Linked DNA regions of Oreochromis niloticus. The protein of the gene in region 1 purifies or fractionates together with the protein of each later gene. This does not show direct contact. Links are inferred from orthologs where the notes say so. Each region holds a gene or a part of one and is shown on either strand. Other genes may lie near its edges.

Evidence for each region. The genes of interacting proteins can lie anywhere in the genome.
Region 2: the proteins of ccnf (region 1) and nusap1 purify together in Homo sapiens (affinity purification with mass spectrometry; 3 studies listed by BioGRID, with this or other methods). This does not show direct contact. The link is inferred for Oreochromis niloticus from reciprocal best matches to the Homo sapiens genes CCNF and NUSAP1.

What each region holds. Positions count from the first base shown.
Region 1 is NC_031969.2:20,391,901-20,399,899, reverse strand, and holds the start of ccnf (cyclin-F), read right to left. Parts: upstream 3,143-7,999; 5' UTR 2,858-3,142; coding exon 2,845-2,857; intron 2,000-2,844; coding exon 1,845-1,999; intron 1,734-1,844; coding exon 1,627-1,733; intron 1,534-1,626; coding exon 1,466-1,533; intron 1,343-1,465; coding exon 1,146-1,342; intron 848-1,145; coding exon 794-847; intron 448-793; coding exon 343-447; intron 127-342; coding exon 49-126; intron 1-48. UniProt on the Homo sapiens protein: Substrate recognition component of a SCF (SKP1-CUL1-F-box protein) E3 ubiquitin-protein ligase complex which mediates the ubiquitination and subsequent proteasomal degradation of target proteins.
Region 2 is NC_031983.2:22,123,460-22,131,654, forward strand, and holds the start of nusap1 (nucleolar and spindle-associated protein 1), read right to left. Parts: upstream 3,161-8,195; 5' UTR 3,038-3,160; coding exon 2,963-3,037; intron 2,804-2,962; coding exon 2,735-2,803; intron 2,651-2,734; coding exon 2,459-2,650; intron 2,321-2,458; coding exon 2,137-2,320; intron 2,033-2,136; coding exon 1,949-2,032; intron 1,597-1,948; coding exon 1,484-1,596; intron 1,400-1,483; coding exon 1,349-1,399; intron 1,256-1,348; coding exon 1,089-1,255; intron 748-1,088; coding exon 584-747; intron 479-583; coding exon 362-478; intron 274-361; coding exon 171-273; intron 89-170; coding exon 1-88. Other genes in the region: oip5 (protein Mis18-beta), read left to right, coding at 3,466-3,640, 5,025-5,091, 5,256-5,378, 5,676-5,757, 5,960-6,052. UniProt on the Homo sapiens protein: Microtubule-associated protein with the capacity to bundle and stabilize microtubules. May associate with chromosomes and promote the organization of mitotic spindle microtubules around them.

The DNA of each region.
Region 1 (7,999 bases):
ATCACAAGAAACCAACTGAAAGTCGGTGAATTGTCCTCAATCACGCACCTGCGCCTCCCAACATCCTTTCCCAGCATAGTCCCTGAGGGTCCGCACACACTGCAGGTACCTCCCTGGATCTGCGATCTGAAACACATACACCAAAAAGAAAACGGTAAGCTCATGATTGGAGTCAACAGGAGAATCTTTTCTAGAATCTGTAAAGCATTTACTATGTTAGCTGGTTATGTTTGACTGACTTTGTAAATAAGAAATAAACCCCAAACAAACAGTTGTCTTCACCAAAGGTGCATGCTTCTGAGAGTAAATCTTGAAACACGGTAATGAGAGAACCTGACTCACAGCTGCCTTACGGCTGTGCTGCCACAACAGGTAAGAGCTCTGTAGACAGCCAGCCTGTGACGACTCCTCCAGCATGGATATGGCTTCTGAACGCTTTTCATCATCCTGGACAAATAAAACACAGTTCCTTGAGGTTAATGACAGAAGTAAAGGTAAACTGTCTGCAGCATGCTGTCTCTGCAACACATGAAGGATCGTGGCACAGTTCTGCTTTGTCACATTGGTAAATAACAAAGCATACTGAAGCTGTGAGTAAGAAGAAACAACAAGGCCTGTAAGACAACAGAAGCTGCATGACAGGGATTTATTCCATCTGTGGTGCTAATGACCAACTGGTCCAACAGCCCCTGTGACATCAGCTCAGTTTTAGGTTTTGGTGAGGGGGGTGGGAGTAATAGAAACTGGGCTAACCACACCTGGATTGAGATAAAGCCCCCCCAGTCTCACTCACCTCAAACAGCTGCAAAACTTTGGCCAAACAATGCAACAGGGGACCCCTCCTCTCCTGCAGAGAAATCACAAAAGCAGATTGCATGTACAAAACTGTTCACCAGTGTATGGCACTGTAAATCGAAGTCAACTAAGAAGAACAGAAGCCAAGCTTTAGGGACAGGGTGTTCAGGCAGCCTTCCAAGCTAACCAAATATGCGTTTATGTTGCAATATGATACATTTTTTATGTAATATTTTATATCTGAATTAATGATTTAAGAAAGAACCCAACTTAATACTTTAAGACCAAATCAGACATGAATGGAGATTAAATTTGCACTCCAGCTGGTCAAACAGGAACTCTGAGCCTACCATGTTGTTAGCGCACTCAGCCTTGAGGTGATCGAACACCACGGCCTTGCAGCAGCTGCCGGTGGGCGACCACGGCGGACGGATGAACACCCAGATGAAGGGATCTGCTGTGAGGGAGCGCAGGCTCTCTGCGAGGCTAAAGAAGTGGGAAGCCTTCCGACCACACACATCTGCTCGCCCCTCGTCACTCAACAATGCTGAAGGCGAGAGAGGATGCACATTTTTAATCAATTAGTTCAATTATTTAAAGGGTTTTATGTTGCCTGTATTTATATACGACTCCCCATTTAATCTCTAACATGAACCAACCAACAACTTACGTCCTTCATTGTATAAATATGCAATTCCAAGTTTCACAGCAGCTTCAAAATTCCCTTTGTCAGCAGCTCTAAAGGAAGACAAAATTTAAAGTAAAGACTCAAATTGACAAACAACATATAAATATATATGCAAAACACACATTTGAGAGTAGGTGGTGTACCTTTCAAAAAGCCATAATGTGTTTGGGGATGGCCACGTGTCTCTGAAACTGACCCTGGCCCAAACACTAGAGTGGTTGTCAACAATGTCCCGCAGCTGAGAGTGAACCTGAAACAGGCATTTAAAAATCATAAATAAGAAAAATAATTAGAACCTTTAGCAGAAGAGAAATCTCAGGTAATAAAGAGTTTAGCTGTGTCAGTGTGCACTTTTACTCACAGCTCGGATAGACAGGAGATCCTCTGCAGAGAGATACTGGAGCACACAGAGAAGAACCTCCTCAGGAAGAGACAGCAAGGTGATCCCAGAAGATCGCTTACGTACCCGCTTCCGTGCTGGAACCGAGTAGCATTTTGAACAACGGCAGTGGATAACTGAAAGAAAAAAAACAAAGAGAAACTGCATATATTATACACTTTTAACACATCAAATGTTTTGAATACTTTAGCATCTTTCCCATATTCACCCTCCAAGCAACAGCACTGGGAGGAAGGCTTTAAGTGTACACAATCAAAATCACAAATCACTTAAAATTTCACACCTAACTGCAAGACTGGCTAACTAATTCTCACATTAATGACAAACTAATATTTGCCTTTCATTGGAAGCAGGTCAAGTTGATTTAGACACACAGTGATGCACTCCAAGATGAAGGTTTTGCATGGCTCCACATTCAAAACTACTAACGTAAGGCATCTACGGGTGGTCTACTCAAACTCTCTGTGAGTGAGTGGGAAAATGTTTAAATTAATGGAGAGATCATCACCTTGAAATTATTAAAACACATAAAAAGCTAATGATTTTTTTTTCTGCATATGTTAAAAATCTAACGGCGGTGAACTGAGCAGCTGAAGGAGGAAAGTCAAACTCGGTGAGCGCCCAAATTTCCCTCCTGTAAGTTCCACGGCAGTAACGATGAGTTTCAATTAGGTTTCAAATTCAAACTAGTCTAACGCTAATTATTTATCTTTCAATGACCACAAAATGCTCACAAAGTCAACAGGAGAGACGTTTTACCTCTATAGATATATTGCCAATATGATTTACCATTACTTCCCGGAGGCTACACCAGTTAACGTTTGTGGCGAGCAGCAGCTAATCACCAATGCTAACTGTGTCCAACTTCAGTGATCTGAAGTAAGACCGCAAACACTTGTTGCATATTATGGTAATTTCCACATATCGGTGTTAGCAAGAACAAGTTGAAAAAAGTACTTACCGCCTGCTTTCATTGCAAGTACAGGGATCACTCCTCAAACAGCGATGTCTTACTGTAAATGCAACTCTTGAGTAGCGATTTATATACGCGGCGATGTTGGCTAATGTTACTCACATTCAAATATTCACACTAATTAATAGAAAACGAAATAGGCAGTGTTACAGTGTTGTTTCCTGTGTCTGTTTTGCTGTGATAGTTGACTAAAGTCTCCCTAAGTTGTTAACTATTGCCTGAATTCAAATCCAAGCACGCGTCCTCACTTATTGGACCCGCCCCAAAAGATGCTCTCTAGGACCGCCCGCGCTCACCGTTTAAACTATACGTTCAATCTGATTGGTCCTCACTGATGACGCCTTTATTCAACATAATAGCCATTTGATTGGTCAGCGCGAAGAACGGTCGCGACGATTGGTCAGACGGTATAAAACTGTAACATATTAAACGCTCATTGGAGAACATAACGACATTTCGAAGTACGCGCTCGTTAGTGAAGGTATATAATTGGCTGACCCGATTATGAAGCATGCCCACCGAACCGCCTTTAAACAGTGGACTGTGGGAAATGTAGTTGGATAGAGAATAATTTTTAAAGGTACTGTGTTTAAAGGGACAGGTGCGTAGAATCAGCTTTGAAGGATGTCAAAAGACATCCTCCAAAACATATTGTTAACGCTAACATATCGCTAACGATAGGTCTTACATAGGTTAGCGATAGGTCTTTATTGTAAGTTTCGAGTTATCTTCTGTAGTATATATATATGTATATATACAGAATGGCAGAATACCTCTACAACAATGTGAGAGACTGATGTGAGTTACCGAATGTGATGTGCTTGATTTGTCAAACACTGCTTCTTAGTTTTTCTTAAATACATTAGGATACAGTGTAATACAGTAATACAGTAATATAGTACGTGTTGCTGCTCGTGTCAGATAGCATTTGCCTCACATTAAGCTAAATATTTCTTTACGTCCTGATATGTAAAATTTTAGAAATGACAGAAGCTGCCAAGTCAAATCAAAGTTTATTTTTATAGGACATTTAAAACAACCTCAGTTGACCAAAATGTATGGGTACATAAAGGTGTATAGGTTATGCAAAATATTATATAATTAACATTACACAAACTCACTAATAAATACACTAATATACACAATAAACTCAATAAAACATCATGAGAAAAATCTCAATAGACATAAATAAGACCGACTGTATTAAAAAAAAAACACAATACCCTGCTCAGCAAGAATAAGCAGGTTTTAATGTGTGTTTTTAAATGACTGAGAGTTTGTCATATGATAATATTTGTTTGCTAAAGCAGAGATGTAACTAAAAGAAATAAGCGACTGGTTCAGCTTCTGAAGCAGCTGCCTTTAATTAGATGACACCCTGATTATGACCATTGTGTCTGATCCCCACTGTTATTTGCTATACTCTCTCAGTTCAATAGTATCTCTTCATTGCTTGTCTTTCTGAAAAGGGTCTTAAGGGAGCAGCGTAACCTCCCAAGAGTAATCATGTGTTCCTTTCAGGCTCTCTATTGATCCACACATCACCTGCTCATCCAATCTAATCATCACTAACAATAGCCAGTGCTCAACATTGCCTCTTCCACTCAGTAGGTTCCTTAAAAAAAAAAGGGAAAAAAAGGAAAATGCCTAAATAAGTTTACATGAAACTTTTATGTAATTCACAAAAGCATTAAGACAAGACATCTTGGCGTTCTTCTTCTATAATCACGAGCTTACAAGTGTTTAAATTGCTCATTTGCTCATTCTTAGGCTATTTAAAACTGGAGGTGCAGGATGATCAAATTATCTTGTAGCGGAGTGACCTCAGAGAGGGCAGGGGCTGTAACATCCGCAACTAAACGCAGCAGTTTCCATAGAAACTCAGAGTAATCTTAACCATTTTCTCAGTAAAACACAAAGTAACCAGGAAGAGCGAGGGAGAGGAGATCCGGTGGTGCTTTGAACCTTAACAAAAATAATTAAAGCTAAAAACCACGCTCAGTGTGCTCAGAAAACTGCAAGGTCTGTCATTTTTATTGGTAGTAAAAAAGTTTGTTTATATATGGGAAGTAAATGGGAGATGACTTCACATTTCAGTGACTTAATTTGCAAGCTTTATTGATGAGAAAAAGATTGCTACTATCTGTTTGTAATTTCCAGTGTTGCTGATGCCCATACAGAAATACCTAAAACTAAGAACCAGCATTTAGTTTGTGTCACTGTTGGATTATTAAAGTATTCTCGAGTCTCTGAGTGATTAAGTCCAATGCCTTCTCATCAAATTTGTTTCTGTTGCAATAGCTACACACAGACTTCAGCTTAATGTTATTTTGCTTGTGATTTAATCTGACCGTCTGGCCAGGCATGTGTAATTTCATCTACAACTGTCTCCAAAACAGCTCCCATAATATCTGGAGATGAATTGAAATGTAACTCCATCCTGCTACAAAGGTATTATGTGGAACCAGCCTTAGTCGCTAGCTAATTAAATACACCCGGATTTGTCTTTTGAACAGATGGTGTTGATCCGAAATTTGAATAAAGTATAAATAAAGTCATGGGACACCAGATGACTCCAATCCCGACTTTACTGTGTCAAATTGTGCTGTCTGCTTCTTTTTTCTGTTTTGTGTGTATTAAACTGAGTTTTGCATAATTCAAAGTCTGATAAGGAGCCAAATAGTGCTGAATGTTTTGGTTTGAGGCCAAGTTCTGGATAAAAAGAGGCGGACGACTTGTTTCCGTCTGGTTTCCTGTAATCCGTGCTGACCCTAGCAATCCAGCTGACCACTTCCACCTCGTCTGCACTTTACCCTCCAATGGCCTACCCACCCTTTTATCAAGACCTAAGCACTGTTCCCTCCACACCCACGCTTTCCCAGCTGTAATTTAATTATGATGGAATATGTTTATACCCAGAAATATAAAATTAACTCCTGCAGAACTGTGACTTAATAACAAGTGAGAGTACTTGGCCTACTTTATTCTACTGCCAGTAGGTGGTGTCATTTATTCTGATTGATGTTGGCCAGTCTGTTTTCTTAACAACCAGATTCCTCATCCCCGGGTATCTGAACAAGTCATCCTAGCTGGCAGGGCAGCACATGGCAGCGCGTCTAAATACAGCATCAAAATTTCAAGCGAAGGCCGTCAACTAAAGACAGGTTTTGCGTTTTGTGAAAAAGCAGAGCGACGGTTGCAGTTATTGTTCACACTGTTCAAAATAGAGCCAAAACAATGTTGGTCTACTTTGTATCCACTGTCCACTCTCCACTTGTCTTCTGTATTTTTAGCCCTGTCAGAGATTCTTCCAGATTGACCAGGACAGAGTGGAATGGTGCGACGGTTCACACTATTCTGAATAATTTTTCCAAAGCAAACAAGTACAAAGACATACAATGAATGCACAAGTTTTTTTTTTTTCTTTTTTTAACCTTTAGGCTATCACAAACAAAGGTGCTTATGTGACATTTGTTTAATACAGTGCTTACATGAACAATTCAAATTTACATATGAGTAGAAATATACAGTACAAATAGAAAAATAATTGTATATACAGCACCAAATATTAGTGGGCACACAAACCAACGTATTTCGTGTCACTCGCCGGAGTGACAAACAGCATAGGCTGACAGCGTGGCTGTCTTCTGGGAGAGGGACATTTTTCCCCGCAGCAGAGAGAGGTAGGTTTTCCCTTTAATCTTTCAGAAGGCAGAAGGGAAATCACTTCACATCTCCAAGAAACAAGAAACAATTTCTGGTCACCTTCCATCATTTTTTTTTTGTTTGTTTGTTTAGTGTCAATATACTGGCACGATATAGCTTTAAAATTAACAAGTACAACAATGCAGCCGAAGTGTACTACATATATAATGTGCACTATACAGAGGCGAGAGTATAAGCGTATGCACATCACCTATCTTGCTTTTGGGATCCTCTGTTTCCCCACAGTAAACTGAGCCATAACCGTCTTTTTTTCCTCTCTGTGCCACCAAACATCCTCTCTTCCACATCTCTGACAGGTCCACCGCATCTGTCCACAGCTCGTGCCCATCATTGTTAGAGAAACCCTAATCCAGGTGAACGAATCTGATAGCAAAGTGAGACAGCCCGTGTAATGTAATTCTTAACTTGTCTTCATCAGAGGATACTAAAACAATGGCCCACCCATAAATACTTTTATGAGCTTTGTGCATTTGACATTTACCTAAAAAAATTTTTTATAAAGGCTTGCAGTATGCAGGTGTTTGCAAACACACTGATCTAAGGTTCAGAGAAGACTTATTCCTCTCCTATTCAATTTAAATTCTCGCCATGGATTCCAGTAATGCATCATATTCCTCAACAATATTACTGCTTTGTTCAGGATGGCTGATCCTAATCTAACTGCTGGGGCAACTACTCACTGCCACATGTAGTGAAAGGAATGACTTCCCAGGTTCCTTGTTTTTCTCCATTACCTCCTAACTGTATTTGTCTTCCTTCATTAGGATGCAAGACAACATCTAAATGCACACTGAGCCACAAAACATGTCAAAAGAAAAGGGGCCGACTCTTTGCAAGTCTACTGAGGTCGGGCAGGATGACAAATGCAGCCTTGAATTTGGCAAGTTGGCCTTCAAAAGGTCCTCGGTGGGATTGGCATTCGATTTTAACTGTTACCCCTGGTTATACAGACAGATTTTCCTTAGCAAGCTTGACTAAACCAGTGGAGACAATCAATGCAACAGTGATCTATAGTAGCTCTCGAGGGTAAGTCCTTCGCATGGAGACAAATTATCCTCTCTGAAATTTCTATACATTGTATACATTGCACTTACTCCCTGCGGGAGTTACGTTTTGAACCTCATGTTACATTCAGTCACACAAAAGAGAATGATTAAGACAGAGTAAAATGCCATTGTTTATCTCATCCTGTGAGAAAGCACCTATTCACAGATGTGGCGCTGAGCGCAGCTACATTCACTCACTCTTTCTAAAAGAAAATGTGAAGGAAAAGGAAACCCCAGAGCCACTTAGAGCCTACGCATTACTCAATTTTCACCAGAGAACAGCCTTGTATTCTATTTTCTGATTCACAAAGGATTTTGCGACTCACTTTTAATCAACATTTTTTCCACAGTGGGGGGAAAAAATTAATAAA
Region 2 (8,195 bases), on another chromosome or scaffold:
TTATGCCATGACAAGGCCTCTTCTTGCCCCAAGGATACTTTCTTTCTTCTGCTTCCGATCTTGTACTTGCTTTGCTCTGCGGCCCTCCCTAAAATAGGATTAAAGACATTCAGAGATGTTGCATGAGCAAACTGCAATGGGAGAATTTTCAGTGTTAATTAAGGACCTACCTTGACTGGACTTTGTGCTGTTTGTAAGCTTCCTGATGTGGATTTGAGATAGACTGGTTCATGGCCATGTTTTCTTTGACATCTCCAAATGGCTTCAGTTTACCTATGTATAAAATAAAAGACTCAATGCTACATCTCATCCATTCAAATAGTGTTTCACACGAACAGGGAAAATGAGAACATTTTTATACCTTTATGAGGCTTGTAGGTGAGGGGACGTGACAGACTCGCCTTCAGATCAAAGCTGGGTTTCTTGTTTGTGCCAGGCGTTGTTGAAGTGCTTGTGTTGCCAGTGAAAACAAATGGTCCTTGCAGAGTGGGGGGGGGGGGGGGGGGGGGGGAAATATCATCATCTACGATGTTTAGAGACATATACTTCAGATATCATTCAAAGGGTTGAAAGGTCAAAGTACCTGGAGTTTTTGTGGCCGAGAAAGATGCAGTTTTGACACTGCTGGGCTTTAATCCGTTGGCGGTCTGTTTCTGAGGGGTGCTGGAAGCCACGCAAGGTGACATGCGTGCAGGTGTCTTCACCAGTGACCTTTTATATTCATTGTCATGAGTAGCTTCTGAGAACCTGTATGTAGACAGTTCTCATTAAAGCATTACATTGAATACAAAACTTAAGTTTCAATGTTTTCACTTTGCAATACCACTTAAAGTTTATTTTTGCAGTTCCACTCTTGAATTCAGGTTAATCCTTTAGAATGACCCATTATTTCACCAGTGTTTGTAAACAGAGACTGCATGGCTAAGTCACAAGTTTTGTACACCTGTGTGAATGTGATTGATAACTAATGAGAAGATTAAAAGACTGTGTGGCTCAGTACTTTTGTTCATTTAAAAGGCATATTAGATCCCCTAGAAATTCATTAGATTTGTTGTATCAAAAGGCCAGAGGACAAAACGGTGACTCACCGAACATTGATCCTGCGAGTGGAAAGAACAGAAGGCCTGAAGGAGACGACCTCCTTTGCAAGAGGTTTTTTGGTGGCTGAAAGCAAAGTGTGCCTGCGGTTTCCTCCACCTGGTGTCTTGTTCACTGGGGCAGGGCTGAACATTGAAGCACGAGTTGGATTTGCCCTCTGTGGGATTATATACACATGTGCCATTAGTGTGCTTTAGAAGTAATTGATATATACATTAAATGTGGGTGACGAGTAGATGGTGATGCTTACCACTTGAGCTTTGCCATCAACTTGCAGCAGCTCAGTTTTGTCTGAAAGACTCTACAGGTAAAAAATAAAATAAAGTTCAAGTAAAAGTTAGACTTAATTTTTCCTGAATAAAAATAAGCCAAGATGATTTGGCACCTTTAGTTCCTTGACTGAATTTCTGTACGTCTCCATCTGTTTCGTCTTCCGCTGAACATAGGAATCAATGGACTCCATCTTGTTGAAATGAGCCTCATGAAGTTTTTTGAAATCTAGATAAACAAATAAAATTTATAACATTATTCAAAGATTTTGAAGTGTGTGTGTGTGTGTGTGTGTGTGTGTGGGGGTGGCACCAGTACTGTAAGTATTGTTTTGTAGTTTTTTAAAATCGATTAAGGTTTTATTTACTAAAGCAAAATAGATGTGCATCATCAACAGGAAAATGTACAGATTTCTCTGAAATTCTGAAATAAAGTAAGACAGGCTCTGCTGTACATAGCAGAGACTCCTATAAAACTTTTGCTGAATCAGGCACAAAAAGAACAATATCATGGTTAACTTAAATAAAATACTTTGTTGAAAGGGAGACAAAAAAAGGAAAGAAAAAAAAAAAAAACTTACTGGGGGTAACAGGCTTCAACAAAGGCTTACTCTTCTGCTGGAGACGAGGAATTCTACCAGCTTTTGCCCCTTTTGGTGCCTTTTCTGGACACAGACATTTAAATTTAAAATTTGTGCGAAAGTCAATGATCTTAAAATCCAATGAAGAGAACTTAAGTGTGTATCAGCTTTTATCAACTATTACTAACCTGTTTCAGCAGTCACTGGTGCTTCATCCTTAATGGCAGGCTGTAGCTGCTGCTCCTCACGGTTAGGAGTCTGGATCTTTTTAGGAGGCTCATTTTTTTCTTTATCGATTGTAGACGACACCTTTCTCTTCTTACCACCCCTGGCATTGCAGGGTGCAGTAGATGCATCAACTTCAGTGTCACCCTTAAAAAGAAAAATAATCATAAAAGGTTTTAGACCTCCAGAATGCAAAGAACTTAAACAGCTGCAAAGCAACCCTATACACAGGGATATAGAGTGCTTCAGATGTATTTATGTTGAATACAGTGTAATGTATAATACCTTTGCAGCAACTGGAGGCATCTTGGCATCGCTTTTAGTCAGTGTGGCAGTAACAGAGATTTTTCTCTTGGTACCCTGTCCTTTACCTCGACGTGTGTTCACAAACCCAGTAGTGCTGGAAACTTCCTCCTTGCAAGATGAATCCAGGACAACCTCAGGTTTCGCCTGAGCTTCATCATTAATACCTTGCCCCTGGAACAGTCATAAACGCATTAGCGCTGTCCACACGAGATGCTGACAACAAAGCCGATACATTACAGAACAGCAGTAAGTTACCTGCTCCTTCGGCTCTTTGTTCTTTTCTTCTTGATAATGCTGCTTTATTGCCTTCAGAAGTTTGTCGGCCTAATGTTGCCGGAAAAAACCGGGAAAAAAAAATGCATTTGAGTGTAGTTTGCACAACACACGTTGACGTTAGAGAACAGCCAGCTACCGTTAGCGAATACAAGGTAAGTCTACCAAACCTCGCTAGAAGCTAATTTTAAAAAAGTAAAGCTCCCTTACCTTCATGTTCGCCTTGAGTCCCAGCTCCTTAGCGAGACTTCGCAATTCTGCATATTTCATGGAGTCCAAATCCATGTCGGTGTGACAGTTTATTTCGCCTTTTTTTTTAAAAAAAATTCGCGCACACGTCCGTCTTTCTCCTCACCACAAACAGCGTCGGTTAAAACTAGCCTCCGATTCAAAACACAGGAGCGCGACACATTTGATTGGCTCTTCACTCTAACCGGATGTGCCTCACAGCCAATCAGAACAACCGTGCATTTTTCGGCATTTTTTTTTTATATCCCCCATGGTTATTTTTTCTTTCTAAAACCGTATTTTTATTAGAAATTTCATACATTTAAAATAATTTAATCAGCCACACTTCTTTGTTAAACTTGTAGAAAAGTGTTATTTGGTAGCTTGTACATTTCTTTGTAGGGGCGTGGTTACGCTGAGGGCGTGCTTTCCTCTGTTGTTCAAATTCGCGAGGAGGGCAAGTTGCTGGCTAGGCACCGTGAAACATGGAATTTAACGACAGCTTTTTAATTAAACACACCGACGACCTAAAGCTGCCAGCCACAGGAACAGTGCACAGACAGCAGATGACTCTCCACTGTCACCAGTGCAACGCCGTCCTGGCGGACTCCACAGGCGTCTGTGGGGAGATGAAAAGCATGGACTCTCTTATGTGCATAAGTAAGCACACTTCATTTCTAAACACTTGTTCGCTGAGGCATTGGGTTTATGTTAAATGTAGTATCAGTTTACAGTGCTTTTAACTAAACTCATAGTAGATGGATTTTGACTTGTTTTTATGGCGACTGTTTACACCACATGACCTAAAATTTTGGAGTAAGATAAGCAATGAGATGATAAATACATTATTCAATAGCAATATGGTAGTATGCCTGGTGGTAGATGCCTCTCCTGTAGCTGCAAAGCTCAATCGGTCTTTTAGAGAGACTGCCTATTCAGCGCAGTGGTGGTCAGGATTATTAGTGATGGAAAAGTTTCATCACAATATCCTCAAAGTTTCCAATTTACAGCCAGTTACAGAGTCAGCCTTCATAATCAGTTTATTCAGTCTTCTCCCCCAGCAGACCCCAGTAGAGTTCAGCCTGCTGTTGATGTGGACACCCAGGTACCTGTACTCCACCACCTCAAAAGGAACCTTCTGAAGTAGATCACATTCCCTCTGGTCTTATTCATATTCAGAAGCAGATGAATCCTCCCAGGCCATGCCACAAAATCATCCATTAGTGCTCTCTACTCCCCATTCTGCCTCTAAAATCAAACCGTTGCATACTGATCAGAGTATTTCTGTAGGTGCCTAAACCCAGAGCTAAACTCTTCAGTGTCTTAGGTGTGCAAGGTGAACAACAAGGGAGATTGCAGAGTCCCCTGCAGAGCTCCTGAACTGAACATCACCAAACAGACAGAGTACTTCCCCAGTCTCATATGCTGTGGACTGTTTGTCAGTGGATGTGTTTCCTGACATTTCCTGTAGATTCTCTCTCAGTAGCAGCAGATGGATTGTGTTGAATGCACTTGCGAAATCAAAGAAGGTAATCCTCACTGTGCAGCCATTACTGTCTAGATGGCAGTAAGCTCCCTGCAGGATGTAGGTGATTGCTTCCACATTTGGTCTGTGTGCAAACTGCTGAGGGTCAAGAGGTGATTTCGCCTGTGGTCTCAGCTGGGCAAATGTTTAGTATCTACAGTACCTTTGTCACATGCCGTGAGGTCAGCTGTTTGATAATCGTTAAGCTCTGGCGGTGTTGACTTCTTTGGTACTACTTGGGCCAGCGCACTTGCTCTGGTGTAGTTTCTTCTGCCGTCTGTTTGGGAGTGGAGGGGATGGAATAGCCTGCCTGTAGTCCTGTCCTCAACGCCATCGAACACTTGTGGGATCAACTGGGACGTGCTGTTCGTGCCAGAGTGACAAAAACAACCACATTTGCTCCCTAATGCTCTTTTAATGTCTGTTTTTTCAGGGATACTATACTTAAACTCCACTGATGATTTTCAAAAGTTTTATGCCAATATATTATTAAATGGTTTTCTACCTGTTTTTCTTTAGGAGTAACCAACGATGTAGTCATTAGTGACAAGATGGAGTCAGGACATAAAGGGGAAATGACTAATTGGTGAGTAGGGTAAAGCTGCAGCGTTTATTGACCTTGTAGAGGGAATTTGTTTTGTACCACAAAGCATTGACATAAGCACAGCTTAGACTTTAGTGGTATAGATAAAATACTGGAGGAATCACAGTCATCCACAGGTTGTTAATGAATGTCTTGGTCACTCCCAGCATCTACAGCTCTTTAAAATGCCGTGGCTGCCGCTGTGCTCTGGGGAAAGTCATTCACTCAGCACCCTCACGTTTGGCTCTGATTCGGTCCATCTTTCTCCTCTACAAAGCAAACATCAACTGGTAAGCCCTCCGGCTTCTACTAACCACACAACCATATTGACTACTTGTGTACATGTTTTTCTGGGGAGGGTAGAATAAACATGTGGCTTATGAGCTTTGTTCACTTATTGTTGTGAGCTCAGGTCAGAGATGAAACAAACCCTGTATATGTTGTATACTTGATGAGTAGGTTTAAATATTCACTTTATAAATAAGTGGGTGGTAATTATATTTTTCGATCTTTAATGGAAACAGTTTCATTGAAGTTATTTTTTTGCATCCCTCAATCTTCAAGAACTTGCTTAATTCTCTCTGCAGTTACATCCTCAACAGCAGCTCCCTGGTGAAGGCATCCACACTCACATTTGATCAGAAGCCACTCAGAGAAAGCATGAATGAGGTGGGACACTGAAATAATAGTATCATGTCTGAGCAAAAGAACCAATTTTAATTTTTTTCATTGGGTTATATTGTGGTTCATTAGTGCTCACACTCACTTCACAATAGAAGAGATTGGTGCATAAAGCAATCCAGTCAGGAATGAAATAAATTATAATTCCCTCTGCTGAGCAAATAAATGTGTTACTTGCTTTCCATTGCAGGTGAGACAACAGTTTGAAGCACAGCTGGAACAGATGTCACGCATTAAGAACAGACTGGTAGACAGAAGTGTTACCAGTAATATGGTCAACTAGTGTACACAGGACACCCAGCTTGACCTGGGATTAGGGAAAATGTGTTCTTCAGTCTGCTGCGTACTGTATATGGTTTTTGGTGATGGTGGCATTTATGCGCCTCCATATGCTTGTAAAGAAAATTATATCACTAATAATGGATTCTAGCTGAAATGTGTTTGTTCCATTGGAAAATAAAGGGAAGATCAGAGAACGCTAATATGTCAGATTGTTTGTAAACAATGGATGCAGCTCTAACATTCAAGAGTGTGAATACTTAAACCTGCCTCAAACCTGCATTCTTTAGAAGGACCAGCAGAGGGCGCCTCCTCATTGAAAAATCAATTCTTAAGGTAAAGATGGAAAAACCCTCCCGCTTCTTTGATCTGCCACTTTCCTGTTGAGTTTATGGCCTCGGTCACTATTTTTAAGTCTTACTGAATACGGCATGATTGTTTTATTTTGTAAATTATGGCCCCACTTAGGCTATAAGGATACAAAACAAAACTGTATGCTTTATGATTGGCTAGTTGCTACTGTGTGACCATGAAGTGTCCTTGGTTAATCAGTCAGATTCACCCCTCCCTTCTGATGTGTTGTTTGCTGACCAGAATGCTTCAGAACTGGACCTCACTGTGCCAACATCCAACTTTTATATACAGTCTATGTTGACAGCTACTAAGTGAAATTACTTTTTATTATTCACTTTCTTAATTGTTGCAGGTTAAATCAGGGCATTGTTATGAAAGATAAATGCCATTCCACCTGCAGATATTAACAATTGTTACAGATGATGGCAACAGTTGTTGACACAGCTTCTCAGATCCCTTCTCTGCTGCTGATAATGCCATGAAAGCAGTGTGGCATTTGGTCTGGTGACTTGTCAACTTTTGAGATGTATGGTCAATGTTCAGAGTCACCCTCAGTTCAGTTCAATTAAAATGTCAAAGTAATCTTGATTTACTGTAGTTTGTTTGTAATGGATAGCATACACTCAGTGGCCACTTTTTTAAGTACATCTTGCCAGTACAGTTTTTGCCTTCAGATCTACACTAATTCTTCATGGCACAGATTCAACAAGATGTTTGAAACATTTCTCAGGGATATTGTCCATTTAGAGATGATAGCATCACACAGTTGCTGCTATCCATGTTGTAAATGACCTGTTTCACCACCTTCTGAAGGTGCTGTATTGGATTGAGATCTGGTGACTGTGGAGGCCATTTGAGGCCACCACTACCAGTCTGAACCTTTGATTATGAAAGTGAGATGGATCCATACTTGCATACTGTTTATGCCAAATTCTGACCCTATCATCCTCTTGCTCTCGTAACCTTCTGTTGTCCAGTTTTTGTAGCCTGAGTTTCCCGTTCTTAGCTTTGCCTTAATGTTCTTATGCTTGCATAATAACAATAAGACAATCCTGTCCCCGTTCTGATGCTCGGTTCGAACTTCAGCAGATCATCTCAACCACAAATACAGCCCTCAATGCTTTGAACTGCTGCCATGTGATTGTCTGCTTAGATAGTTCCATTAAAAAGTAAATAATAAAGTGGCCAGTGAGTGTATATCTCGTGTATTTGCTGTAAATGCTATTTTGTTAATAAAGTTAGAGCCTAATTCTTCCCATGATTTTAGGATCAGCAGTTCAGTGAGAGCAAAGGTAGTTTTGTCCCTGCTTACAATCTTCTCACCAAGCTAGAATTAGGTTCAAATCTTCCTTCAGTAATAATTTTCTGGTGTATAACCAGCCTCAGAGTGGTATTAAGGACAACAAACCTTTGGTTTGTTGGTTCGTGTTATATGGCACGAACCCTTGGTTCTTGTTATATGGCATTCAAACTGTAGTCGACACCCATCAATTTAATTGGCACCATGCTGCATTTTATTGCTGAACTTCTGATACAGATTCTTTTTTTCTTTTTTTTTAAAGTTAATACAAAACCAGACAAGAGGCTCACACATAACAAGCATGCCCATTTCCTCCCTCTGGAGTGCATAGTTTCTACACAGTCCACGTCCTGTGTGGAAAAGTTGATCAACAAAGTGATGTCGTTAATCTTACCTAAGCTCTTGATACATTTTTTTCCTTTTTTAATGGGAACAAAGGTTGATTTGTTTTTCAGCTGCACTGTGGCTACACTGTCAGGTCATATTTGACACA